Macaca fascicularis: one gene and its partners. The protein of the gene in region 3 binds, or shares a complex with, the protein of the main gene of each other region. Links are inferred from orthologs where the notes say so. Each region holds a gene or a part of one and is shown on either strand. Other genes may lie near its edges.

Region 1 (4,182 bases), on a different chromosome or scaffold from region 3:
AAATCTATCTATCTAGAATTCAGGGATCATTGAAACAAGACATCACTTCAGCAGGCCTGTTTGCAACTTCTGGGATATACGAGGTGTTAGCAGTGATTACTTGTGGATGCTTGGAGTGTGGATTTTTAAAATGGTTTTTTATCTGCTCATCTGTATTTGTAAATTTTCAACAATGGAACATAGATTATTGCATTATTATTATAATACCCCAAACCTATCTTCCCTTCAGCCCTCTTTCCACGAGCTCTTACCCTAAATGTCTCTTTTTCTGTCAGTGGCATTGTGAGTCTTCCTTAGTGCATCACCTCTGATCTTCCTGTAGAGTTTTTTTTTTTTTTGAGATAAGAGTCTCAAAAAAAGACTCTATCTCAAAAAAAGATAGATCCTCACTGCAACCTCCGCCTCCCGGGTTCAAGCACGTCTCCCTGACTCAGCCACCTGAGTAGCTGGGATTATAGGTGCCTGCCACCATGCGTGGCTAATTTTTGTATTTTTAGTAGAGATGGGGTTTCACCATGTTGGCCAGGCTGTTCTGGAACTCCTGATGTCAAATGATCCAACCACCTCAGCCTCCCAAAGTGCTGGGATTACAAGAGTGAGCCACAGCGCCCAGCCCACACCTGACTAATTTATTTTTTTATTTTTATTTTTATTTTTGAGACAGAGTCTCACTCTGCCGCCCAGGCTGGAGTGCAGTGGCCGGATCTCAGCTCACTGCAAGCTCCGCCTCCCGGGTTCACGCCATTCTCCTGCCTCAGCCTCCCGAGTAGTTGGGACTACAGGCGACCGCCACCTCGCCCGGCTAGTTTTTTGTATTTTTTAGTAGAGATGGGGTTTCACCGTGTTAGCCAGGATGGTCTTGGTCTCCTGACCTCGTGATCCGCCCGTCTCAGCCTCCCAAAGTGCTGGGATTACAGGCTTGAGCCAACACCTGACTAATTTTTAAAATGTTTTAGTAAAGACAGGGTTTTGCCATGTTGCCCAGGCTGGTTTTGAGCTCCTAGGCTCAAGTAATCATTTTGCCTTGGCCTCCCAAAGTCCTGGGATTACTGTTGTGAGTCCCTGCGCCTGGCCTCAATGTTAAGATCTTAAGGGGCACAGCACAGACCTTGTCTTGTCTATCTCCCTGGCACCTCTCACACAGTACAGCTCATTAACAGATGTTCCAGAAACTGTTACTGAACACGGCTTGATGCCGTGGGCTTGTCTGCATCTTGCAACTGTCACCTGGCTGAGAAATTTCTTCTATAAATAGCAGTTTCTGTTTCAGATGTGATTTGCCCCGATATTTACACCCCGTCTCTTACCCCGTCCACGACTCAAACTTAGAAACTTGTATTAGATGTGGTATTCAAATCCTTAGCTGCCGCAAAGAAACAGACGGCCCCGTAAGAACCCACGAAGCAGGCCAAGTTCATAGTTCTCGACATTCTAGCTGCTCTTGCTGCATTTGCTCCGGAATTCTTGTGGAGATATTACTTGTCCTTCCAGGCTGTTTTTTCTGTAGCTCCCTTGTTTTCTTTTCGTGATCATGTTGCAGATGGCTCGGCAGTGCTCCCAAAATGAATATTTTGACAGTTTGTTGCATGATTGCAAACCTTGTCAACTTCGATGTTCTAGTACTCCTCCTCTAACATGTCAGCGTTATTGCAATGCAAGTAAGTAATATCGCTTGAACGATTATTCATTGGTGTGAACTCTTCTGTCTCTATGGACTGCTTATTCAGAGAATCAACATAATGGGCATGATGGTGAGTTTTCTTGAATCAAAAAGAGAAAGGAAGCAAGGCAATAATTTTAACGTTTACAGAAACAACGTAATTATTTGGAACTCAACTCGATATGATTCAGCACTATTAGCAACATAGATTTTAAAAAAAATATCAGCTCTTGTAGTTAAGGATATTTAGAATTTAAAAGTCAATGTTCATTAATTAAGGTGATTGAATGGAAAAAATCCATACTTGATTATTTTGCTATCAAAATAATCCATAATTGATTATTTTAGCAAAATAATCAAGTATGACAGCCGGGTGTGGTGGCTCACACCTGTAATCCCAGCACTTTGGGAGGCTGAGGCGAGTGGATCACCTGAAGTCGGGAGTTTGAGACCAGGCTGGCCAACGTGGTGAAACCCCGTCTCTACTAAAAATACAAAAATTAGCTGGGCGTGGTGGTGCAGGTCTGTAATTCCAGCTACTCGGGAGGCTGAGGCAGGAGAATCGCTTGAACTCAGGAGGTGGAGGCTGCAGTGACCTGAGATCGCGCCACTGCACTCCAGCTTGGGCAATAGAGCAAGACTTCATCTTAAAATAAATAAATAAATAAATAACAACAATAAAGGATGTGAATATTATGTTATCAGCTCATTATCTGTCTGACATTCTTTTCATAAAGGTATGACCAATTCAGTGAAAGGAATGAATGCGATTCTCTGGACCTGTTTGGGACTGAGCTTGATAATTTCTTTGGCAGTTTTCGTGCTAACGTTTTTGCTAAGGAAGATGAGCTCTGAACCATTAAAGGATGAGTTTAAAAACACAGGTTGGTTTGATGGTGAATCTTTGAAATCTGTTTCCAGTGGATGGCTATTGTGAGTTTCAGTTCCTTTTCTTTTTTTAGCATTGACTATTTCACTTCATTACAGCCCTTTTGAATGTGTTAGAGCATAGTTATATTAAACGAGCTTGGTAGAGGCGAGCCATCTTCACTCTGATTTTGACACCTTGGCAGACTTTCTACAATGTCAGCCTTCCCCAGGATTCTTCCCTTATTAATTACTCTATTGAAAGTACTAAGGCTTTCTTGGGAAACATCAGTCTCTTTGTCTGAAGTTAGCACATCAATTAAATGCCACATTATCAGAAACTCCTAGCCAGGTCTGCTACTGTCAGGAAGAGCATATTTGTCAAGATCTAAGGCCATGTTATTATACAAGTATGTGTTGTTTGCTTGGGTGAACACTTTACTACTGAAAAATGTTAGAAATGAATAACCACTTGCTCCTGAATTATTTGAGGAATCATCTAAAAAATAATTATCTTTTTTAAGCAATAGAGAACTAGTTCCAGAAAAATGAATGTTCTACTTAAGTGCCTCTTAAGATAAAAATACTTCTGCAGCACCTTTGCTCGTGATTGGATTCCCTAGTATGTACAACCACTGCCCTATTTTTGTATGCATTTATGTATGTATGTATGTATGTATTTATTTAGAGACGGAGTCTCGCTCTGTGGCCCATGCTGGAGTGCAGTGGCATGATCTCAACTCACTACAGCCTCTGCCTCTTGGGTTCAAACGATTCTCCCACCTCAGCCTCCTGAGTAACTGGGACTATAGGCATGTGCCACCACGTCCAACTAATTTTTGTACTTTTTGGTAGAGACAGGGTTTCATCATGTTGGCCAGGATGGTCTCAAGTTCCTGAACACAACTGATCTGCCCTCCTCGGCTTCCCAAAGTGCTGGGATTACAGATGTGAGCCACCGTGCCCAGCACATACTCATTCTTTTTTACTGAAAAGATCTGTTTCAAGCTGGGTGTGGTGGCATGGAGCTGTAGTCCCAACTACTCTGGAGGCAAACGTGGGAGGATTGCTTGAGCCCAGGAATTTGAATGTAGCCTGGCAACATAGTAAGACCCCATATCTAAAAAATGAAAAAATCTCTCTCACATTGCTTTGAGTCCCGATGTGTACTGGTAAGACTCTCACGATCACACACTCTGTCAAGTTTAGGTTAATGTTTCTGTTTCTGCATAATCAGGATCAGGTCTCCTGGGCATGGCTAACATTGACCTGGAAAAGGGCAGGACTGGTGATGAAATTGTTCTTCCAAGAGGCCTGGAGTACACGGTGGAAGAATGCACCTGTGAAGACTGCATCAAGAATAAACCAAAGGTTGATTCTGACCATTGCTTTCCACTCCCAGCCATGGAGGAAGGCGCAACCATTCTCGTCACCACGAAAACGAATGACTATTGCAATAGCCTGTCAGCTGCTTTGAGTGTTACGGAGATAGAGAAATCAATTTCTGCTAGGTAATTAACCATTTCAACTCCTGCAGTGCCACTTTAAAAATCTTTTGTTGGAATAGATGATGTGTCAGATCTCTTTAGGATGACTATATTTTTCAGTTGCTGATATAGCTTTTTGTCTAACCATGGAAACTCTTTATGTTAGAT
Region 2 (4,401 bases), on a different chromosome or scaffold from region 3:
GAGGTAGCGGGAGAGGACACACAGCCCTGGAGAAAAGGAGCCAGTGTGGGCAGGCTTCCCTCCACTGCAGTCACAGGTCCCTTGCTCATAGGCAGATCTTCCTGGGCACTCTCTGCACAAAGCCCCAGTGGCTCCCTCGTGTCCTCCAGCCACAGTCCAAGCTCCCTAATGTGCTAGATAAGGCCCCAGTCCAGCCCTTTGGTCCCAGCACTCCCTGGACTTCCTGTTTGGGCCTCCAAGCATTTGCTCCCCTTTGGCCTTCACCCCCATCTGTTCCCTAGACCTCACTCCATCTGGCAAATACTTCACCATCACCCCCTCCATGAAGCCTTCTAGCCCACCTTCCAGGATGACATGAGCCGGTACCCTTGCTGCGAGGCTGTCTTCCCCCATCAGCACAAGTGTGAAATTCCCTTGGGGCAGACCCACATGCTACTTGGGACTGGTACAAGTGTCTGATGTCAGGCTGGGCACTGTGGCTCACGCCTGTAATCCCAGCACTTTGGGAGGCCGAGGAGGGTGGATCACCTGAGGTCAGGAGTTCCAGACCAGCCTGGCCAAATGGTGAAACCCCGTCTCTGTTAAAAATACAAAAATTAGCCGGGCGTGGTGACACATGCCTGTAATCCCAGCTACTTGGGAGGCTGAGGCAGGAGAATCGCTTGAATCTGGGAGGCAGAAGTTGCAGTGAGCCGAGATTGCACCACTGTACAAAGCCAGACTCCGTTTCAAAAAAAAAAGCAGGTGTCTGATGTCCCCAACCGCCTCTGTCCAGGAAGGGCAGGAGGACTCCCTAGAAGCGGAGATAAATGGGGTGGGAGAGATAGTGGGGAAGCATCCGAGGTCATGGAGCAGCCTTGGCTAGAGGGAGCAGAGGAACCACTCACGGTCTGTGTCCTGGCTCCATCCACCTCCCTACCCAAGAGGAGGCTCTGGTCTGCCCCCAGACGGTCCCAGCACCCAGCAGAGGGCCCACCCAGGTGGTGCTGGTTGAGTGACTGAACTGGGGAACCATAGGAAGAAAGAGAGGCCAGGCCCGGCGCGGTGGCTCACGCCTATAATCCCAGCACTTTGGGAGGCCGAGGCGGGTGGATCACGAGGTCAGGAGTTCAAAACCAGCCTGGCCAAGATGGTGAAACCCCATCTCTACTAAAAATACAAAAATTAGCCGGGCGTGGCGGTGGGCGCCTACAATCCCAGCTACTCAGGAGGCTGAGGCAGCTAATTGCTCGAACCTGGGAGGCAGAGCTTGCAGTGAGCCGATATCGCGCCATTGCACTCCAGCCTGGGCAACAGAGCGAGACTCCATCTCAAAAAAAAAAAAAAAAAAGAAAAGAAAGAAAGAAACAAAGAAAGGGGGGCCCCAGGAGAGCTCGGTCCCACCCAGCAGGCGGGGGCAGGGCAGGGCAGAGTGTTCCCCCCGCCTCCCCGCTTCCTCCCCGAGGGCCCCGGAGGCCCACTCAGCCTCAGTCCCCACTTGTGCGGAGGCGCCGGCACCATGAAGCGAGGGCCCCGGAGCCTGCGGGGCAGGGACGCGCCAGCCCCCACGCCCTGCGTCCCGGCCGAGTGCTTCGACCTGCTGGTCCGGCACTGCGTGGCCTGCGGACTCCTGCGCACGCCGCGGCCGAAACCGGGTAAGGAGGACCCACCGGGCGCGCGGCGCCGGCAGCCGCGGGGAGGACGGGGCCCCGACCGCCACGGCGAAGGCAGAGCCCCGACCCCTGGGGGCGCCGAGGGCTGAAAGGACCCTGTGGGCAGGGCCTGGAGGGGCCCGCCATCACCGCGCGGCCCTCACCGCCGCCTCTCTCCCTCCCCTTGTCCACCGCCCCCCCCCGGCTGTCCCTCCCCTCCCCGGCCAGCCTCGCCCCCCTCCGCCCCTCCCCGTCCCCGCTCCTCCCTCCCCTCGGCCCCCTGCCCTCCCTCCCTGTCCCCTCCCGCAGCAGCCCCGGCCAGCAGCCCTGCGCCCAGGACGGCGCTGCAGCCGCAAGAGTCGGTGGGCGCGGGGGCCGGCGAGGCGGCGCTGTCCCTACCCGGGCTGCTCTTCGGCGCCCCCGCGCTGCTGGGCCTGGCACTGGTCCTGGCGCTGGTCCTGGTGGGCCTGGTGAGCTGGAGGCGGCGACAGCGGCGGCTTCGCGGCGCGTCCTCCGCAGAGGCCCCCGACGGAGACAAGGACAAGGACGGTGAGTTCCGTGTGTAGCGGAACCAGTCCGAGCGGGGCACAGGGGCTGGGGTGTCGGGACGGCCTAGGGGGTGATGCATGGCCCCTGGGAGTAGTGAAGGGCTGTAAGGGGAAACGGAGACAGAGAGCGGAAAAGAGTTTGCTCTGAGGAGCTCAGGCTGGGGACGGAGACATAGTCCTGCGCCTGAGACCCTGGTCGGAGCCAGGAACAGCTCTGCCCTGCCATACCCCAGTGTGAGGAAGAGACAGTTCGCGGGAAGGGGGCCCCGTCTGAAGGAGGAGCCTGTCCTGCCCTTTGGGAGTCTAACGGAGCTTGATTCCCCCATAAATCCCTGCAGGGTTTGCCAGACAGCCCCAGCTCCCCAACTCCCTGCCCTGCCAGCTCCCCACTGGCCAGGCCTCTGAACTCAGGGTCAGCCATGTGCCACCCCTCCCCACCCTGCAGTGGGCTTCATTTGACGGAGTACTGCCCCTCCAGAGGAGTCTTCTAGGGGAGGGAGAGAAGGCTGTGACCCAGTACCGAGCCTCTATCCCCTCTGCCCTGCCCCAGAACCCCTGGACAAGGTCATCATTCTGTCTCCGGGAATCTCTGATGCCGCAGCTCCTGCCTGGCCTCCTCCTGGGGAAGACCCAGGAACCACCCCACCTGGCCACAGTGTCCCTGTGCCAGCCACAGAGCTGGGCTCCACTGAACTGGTGACCACCAAGACGGCCGGCCCTGAGCAACAGTAGCAGGGAGCCGGCAGGAGGTGGCCCCTGCCCTCCCTCTGGACCCCTGCCAGGGTCTTGGAAATCAAATTTTGCTCTTCACTCCAGCATGCACATGCCCTCTTTCTGGGACCAGGCTAACCCTGCAGAAGCACAGACACTACAGACCACAGCGTTCAGCCCCCATGGAGTTTGGTGTGCTCACCTTTGGCTTCAGACCACACCATCTTTGACAGCCCTTGAAGGTGGTAGCCCAGCTCCTGTTCCTGTGCCTTCAAAAGGCTGGGGCACTATGAGTAAGAGACCGCTTTTAAAATGGGGAAGGCACCATTAAGCCAAAATGAGTCTGAAAAAGGACCAAGTGGGAGGATGCCTAATTTGTAGCTGGGTAGTTTTTTGTGTTTGTTTGATTTTTTTATTTTTTGAGACGAGTCTTGCTCTGTCGCCAGGCTGGAGTGCAGTGGCATGATCTCACCTCACTGAAACCTCCAACTCCTTGGTTCAAGCGATTCTCCTGCCTCAACCTCCTGAATAGCTGGGATTGCAGGCATGCACCACCACAGTCAGCTAATTTTTGTATTTTTAGTAGAGACGGGATTTCACCACATTGGCCAGGATGGTCTCGATTTCCTGACCTCGTGATTTGCCCTCTTCGTCTTCCCAAAGTGCTGGGATTACAGGCATGAGCCACCGCACCTGGTCTTGTTTTGTTTTGTTTTGTTTTGTTTTGTTTGAGACACGGTCTTGCTGTATCACCCAGGCTGGAGTGCAATGATGGGTCCCCAGTACATTGCAGCCTGGGCTCAAGCGATCTTTCTGCTTCAGCCTCCTGAGTAGCTGCGACTACAGGTGCTCCACCTTGCCCAGCTAATCTTTTTTTTTTTTTTTTTTTTTTTAAAGACAGGTCTGGATATGTTGCCCAGGCCAGTCTCAAATTCCTAGCCTCAGGCAGTCCTCCCCAAAGGGCTGGGATTATAGGCATGAGGCACTGGGCCTGGCCGCTATTTCTTTTTTTTTTTTTTTTTTTGAGATGGAGTCTCGCTCAGTCCCCCAGGCTGGAGTGCAGTGGCCAGATCTCAGCTCACTGCAAGCTCCGCCTCCCGGGTTCACGCCATTCTCCTGCCTCAGCCTCCCGAGTAGCTGGGACTACAGGTGCCCGCCACCTCGCCCGGCTAGTTTTTTGTATTTTTTTAGTAGAGACGGGGTTTCACCGTGTTAGCCAGGACGGTCTCAATCTCCTGACCTCGTGATCCGCCCGTCTCGGCCTCCCAAAGTGCTGGGATTACAGGCTTGAGCCACCGCGCCCGGCCTGCTATTTCTTTAATACCTGCCCTCAGAGCCGTCCTGCTTTTAAACTGATGCAAATGGTGGCAGTGCATAATCAGTTCATGGGTTTGCTTGCTTTGGGATTTAGTACAAGATTATTTAAAGAAATAACAAAGGAGAAAAGATTGAACTGGATTTTGCTGATTGTCAGGTATCTGTACCCCAGGGTCAACCCCTGAGATTGGCCC
Region 3 (2,820 bases):
GTCTTTATCAGCAGTGTGAAAACAGACTAATACAACCTTCTAATTACAGCAGAGCGGGGGTTGGGCCCAATATGTGATAAGAGGTTGCTGCCAATGAGATTGCCCTCAGTGATGCCTTTTGTGATCCCTACAAGATGCTTGTCCTGGTTGAATTTTACCACCTCATAGTCAGTTCCTCAGGAGAAGAATGCTTGGCCTGGTATTAGCTTTTCTCAGTTATACATCTACGTAATATTATAAGTATATATATTAATACTCAATATTATACCAATAATATATACTTAATATTGTACTAAAAATCCCACAAAATATACTGTACTGTTGGATAAATTCAACTCTAAAGGTAATAATATAACTGATGTCTCCTTCTAAATAGTTTAAAATGAAGTAGTTAGACAGATGCAGATGTGAACAGATCCTTTTTCAGATATGGAAAATATTCACATTTCCAAACTATCGTATCCTAACACAAATTAATTTATCATGTTTCACCTGATTTTAAAAATAACATTTAATTATACAGTGAGAATGCAAAAGGTGGGTGTTGCTAGACAAACTCAGTCAATGAGGCAAAAGGCAATGAAGGTTTTTATTTGTTAATCCATATTAGCAGCAACACCAGAAAAATCATTAACCACCCCTCCTAGCATTGAAACTCTGACTCCACTTATCGCTTCTTCTTTTTAAATTACAATGTAAAACAAAATGAACTGCAAAATATATTTTATTTGAACTTACTGAAGTTGAAATCATAGGAACCAGATATCTAAACAAAGTTTAAACTTAAAGTTTAGATTTTAAACATAAAATGTAAATGGTTTTCTTTGTTTTGAAAAGTATATCCTTGAAAAGTATTTTGATATAGATGGGAACATTTTCATAGACTGGCATCTACTTTTCCACCTACTGTTTAATGAAGTAAACTGTTGAATGATGTAAACTGTTAAATGAAGTAAACAGTTAAAACTAATGACATAAAAGACAAGCAAAGCAAAGGAAACATGTTATAAAATATAAGTATTACAGCATTCTTAAGTATGGTACTTTATAAAATGAAAACCGGGATGATGTCTTCTGAGATATCAACATATTTATAAGGAGTACATGGTACGTGACATACTTCAGGATGCCAAGAATTTTAATTAAAACTCAACCTCTATAAAGTGAATATAAAACTAATAAGAGGAATATTTTTAAAGGTTGGGATGTGTAAACTATAATAGCAGCAGTTTGAAACAGAAGAGGAAGAAATAAAGAGAAATTACATTACATTAGTATAAATGTATTCAGTAACTTCTGTTGGAGATTATGTTGTTATATATGAACAATTATAGTTATTTTTCAATCAATGCTTTACATGCATAAATTGAAATTACCTGATATTAAATGTTTCTGAAATTCATTATAGGAAATACACATGAGCATAAACAGATGAGGATATTCTCTCTCTCCCGTGAAAAAATGTGTGGGTAATATATTACATCATAGATAGAAATCGCATACTTGAAATAACCATAAAATACTTAAATAGTACATGGATACTATTTTCAGCCAAGTTGTTTCATATTTAAATTTAAACTTTTAGTTATTTCATGTAACTACTGCAAGATTTCTAAAATTTTTATTTTTTACTTTTTGTAATGTTGACCAAAAAGGAGGGAGTGCATTTAACATAAAAATAGAAAATGAATCCTGAGATTTCTCATAAATGTCTTAATGTCCTAGAGATGTGGGCACTGGTTCCATAGTAAATTATGGATGCCACATTTTACAAAATCCTTACTGCCCCTTTGAATTGTGTCCTTCCTCCAAGATAAGAAGCTATGACTCAATTGTTCAGCATGGAATTATAGTGAAAAGCCTTTCTAGTTCTATCTTTCCCTAAATGGGCTCTGGTTTCTTGTAATTCACATGACACTCTTTGGCTGTGGCTGTCTGTTAAATTTCCTGTTTTGGACTAGTTTCAGCAAACCAAAACAAATAGCTCACAGAAAAGCCAACGGTAACTACTTTTTTTTTTTTTTGTGGTATATCCAGTTAGATTCTTTCTTCTTAGAGGTACAGAGAAAGGGAAGAAAATAGTTACAGACATGGTATAAGTAGGTCACAGCAGTTTCAATGCACCAAAAAATGTGACATCTCCATCCAGTGATATTTGTGCATTTTCTCGTGGTATTGCAAGTTGAAGTTCATCTCCTTCTTCCAGTTTTGCAATGCCTAGGAAAAAATGATTTACAAGAACTATAAGTGGTTATACAACAGAAAAGAAAAAAACCTAAATAAAACTATTTTGTTCTGTAAAAAAAAATGTTAACATAGGCATCCACACTTCAGAATATACCAGTTGGCTTCTAAACCATTGCAATTATCTTAGCCTAAAAAAATTTAGAAGAAATAAGCAAAAGGAGTTACAACAGATATGTATGAATTTATCACCTACTCTTTAAAAAATGGAGTTCCCCAAAAGAAGCCCAATATATAACTTTTTAAAAAATTAGGTAAATCATGGCACATCCCTTGATAGAATATTAAATGATTAGTGATGATTTTTATTTAATTTTGTTGACAAGGAAAGTTTTTATAATAATGTTAAATAAAAACATGAAAAATTACACACACATATATATACTAGATATTCCTAATTATATTTTAAACATACATATGAAAAGCATAAATATTAAAAAGTGAAGAAAACACCATTTCTTAAGATACCACATTTATTAATATAGTTTTTCTTGAGAGTTCAGACTATGGGTTTAAGCATTATCTGGATTATTTTTCACAACCTCTTATATTTTGTTTTATTATATAACCACATTT

Evidence for each region.
Region 1: the proteins of TNFSF13B (region 3) and TNFRSF17 are in contact, whole or in part, in a crystal structure (PDB 1OQD), measured with the Homo sapiens proteins. The link is inferred for Macaca fascicularis from reciprocal best matches to the Homo sapiens genes TNFSF13B and TNFRSF17. Residues at the interface, in NP_006564.1 of Homo sapiens: Ser162, Tyr163, Lys204, Thr205, Tyr206, Ala207, Met208, Gly209, His210, Arg231, Cys232, Ile233, Glu238, Pro264, Arg265, Glu266, Asn267; in NP_001183.2 of Homo sapiens: Tyr13, Asp15, Ser16, Leu17, Leu18, His19, Ile22, Arg27, Ser29, Ser30, Asn31, Thr32, Pro33, Pro34, Leu35.
Region 2: the proteins of TNFSF13B (region 3) and TNFRSF13C are in contact, whole or in part, in a crystal structure (PDB 1OQE), measured with the Homo sapiens proteins. The link is inferred for Macaca fascicularis from reciprocal best matches to the Homo sapiens genes TNFSF13B and TNFRSF13C. Residues at the interface, in NP_006564.1 of Homo sapiens: Ser162, Tyr163, Asp203, Thr205, Tyr206, Ala207, Met208, Gly209, His210, Leu211, Thr228, Arg231, Cys232, Ile233, Pro264, Arg265, Glu266, Asn267, Ala268; in NP_443177.1 of Homo sapiens: Asp26, Leu27, Leu28, Val29, Arg30, Val33, Leu37, Leu38, Arg39, Pro41, Arg42.

What each region holds. Positions count from the first base shown.
Region 1 is NC_088394.1:12,668,560-12,672,741, forward strand, and holds the start of TNFRSF17 (tumor necrosis factor receptor superfamily member 17), read left to right. Parts: upstream 1-1,316; 5' UTR 1,317-1,531; coding exon 1,532-1,658; exon of another isoform or gene 1,659-1,760; intron 1,761-2,397; coding exon 2,398-2,544; intron 2,545-3,673; exon of another isoform or gene 3,674-3,764; coding exon 3,765-4,042; 3' UTR 4,043-4,182. UniProt on the Homo sapiens protein: Receptor for TNFSF13B/BLyS/BAFF and TNFSF13/APRIL. Promotes B-cell survival and plays a role in the regulation of humoral immunity. Activates NF-kappa-B and JNK.
Region 2 is NC_088384.1:9,679,456-9,683,856, forward strand, and holds the start of TNFRSF13C (tumor necrosis factor receptor superfamily member 13C), read left to right. Parts: upstream 1-1,468; 5' UTR 1,469-1,498; coding exon 1,499-1,634; intron 1,635-1,859; coding exon 1,860-2,180; intron 2,181-2,729; coding exon 2,730-2,911; 3' UTR 2,912-4,401. UniProt on the Homo sapiens protein: B-cell receptor specific for TNFSF13B/TALL1/BAFF/BLyS. Promotes the survival of mature B-cells and the B-cell response.
Region 3 is NC_088391.1:99,006,812-99,009,631, reverse strand, and holds the end of TNFSF13B (tumor necrosis factor ligand superfamily member 13B), read right to left. Parts: intron 2,218-2,820; coding exon 2,105-2,217; 3' UTR 576-2,104; downstream 1-575. UniProt on the Homo sapiens protein: Cytokine that binds to TNFRSF13B/TACI and TNFRSF17/BCMA. TNFSF13/APRIL binds to the same 2 receptors. Together, they form a 2 ligands -2 receptors pathway involved in the stimulation of B- and T-cell function and the regulation of humoral immunity.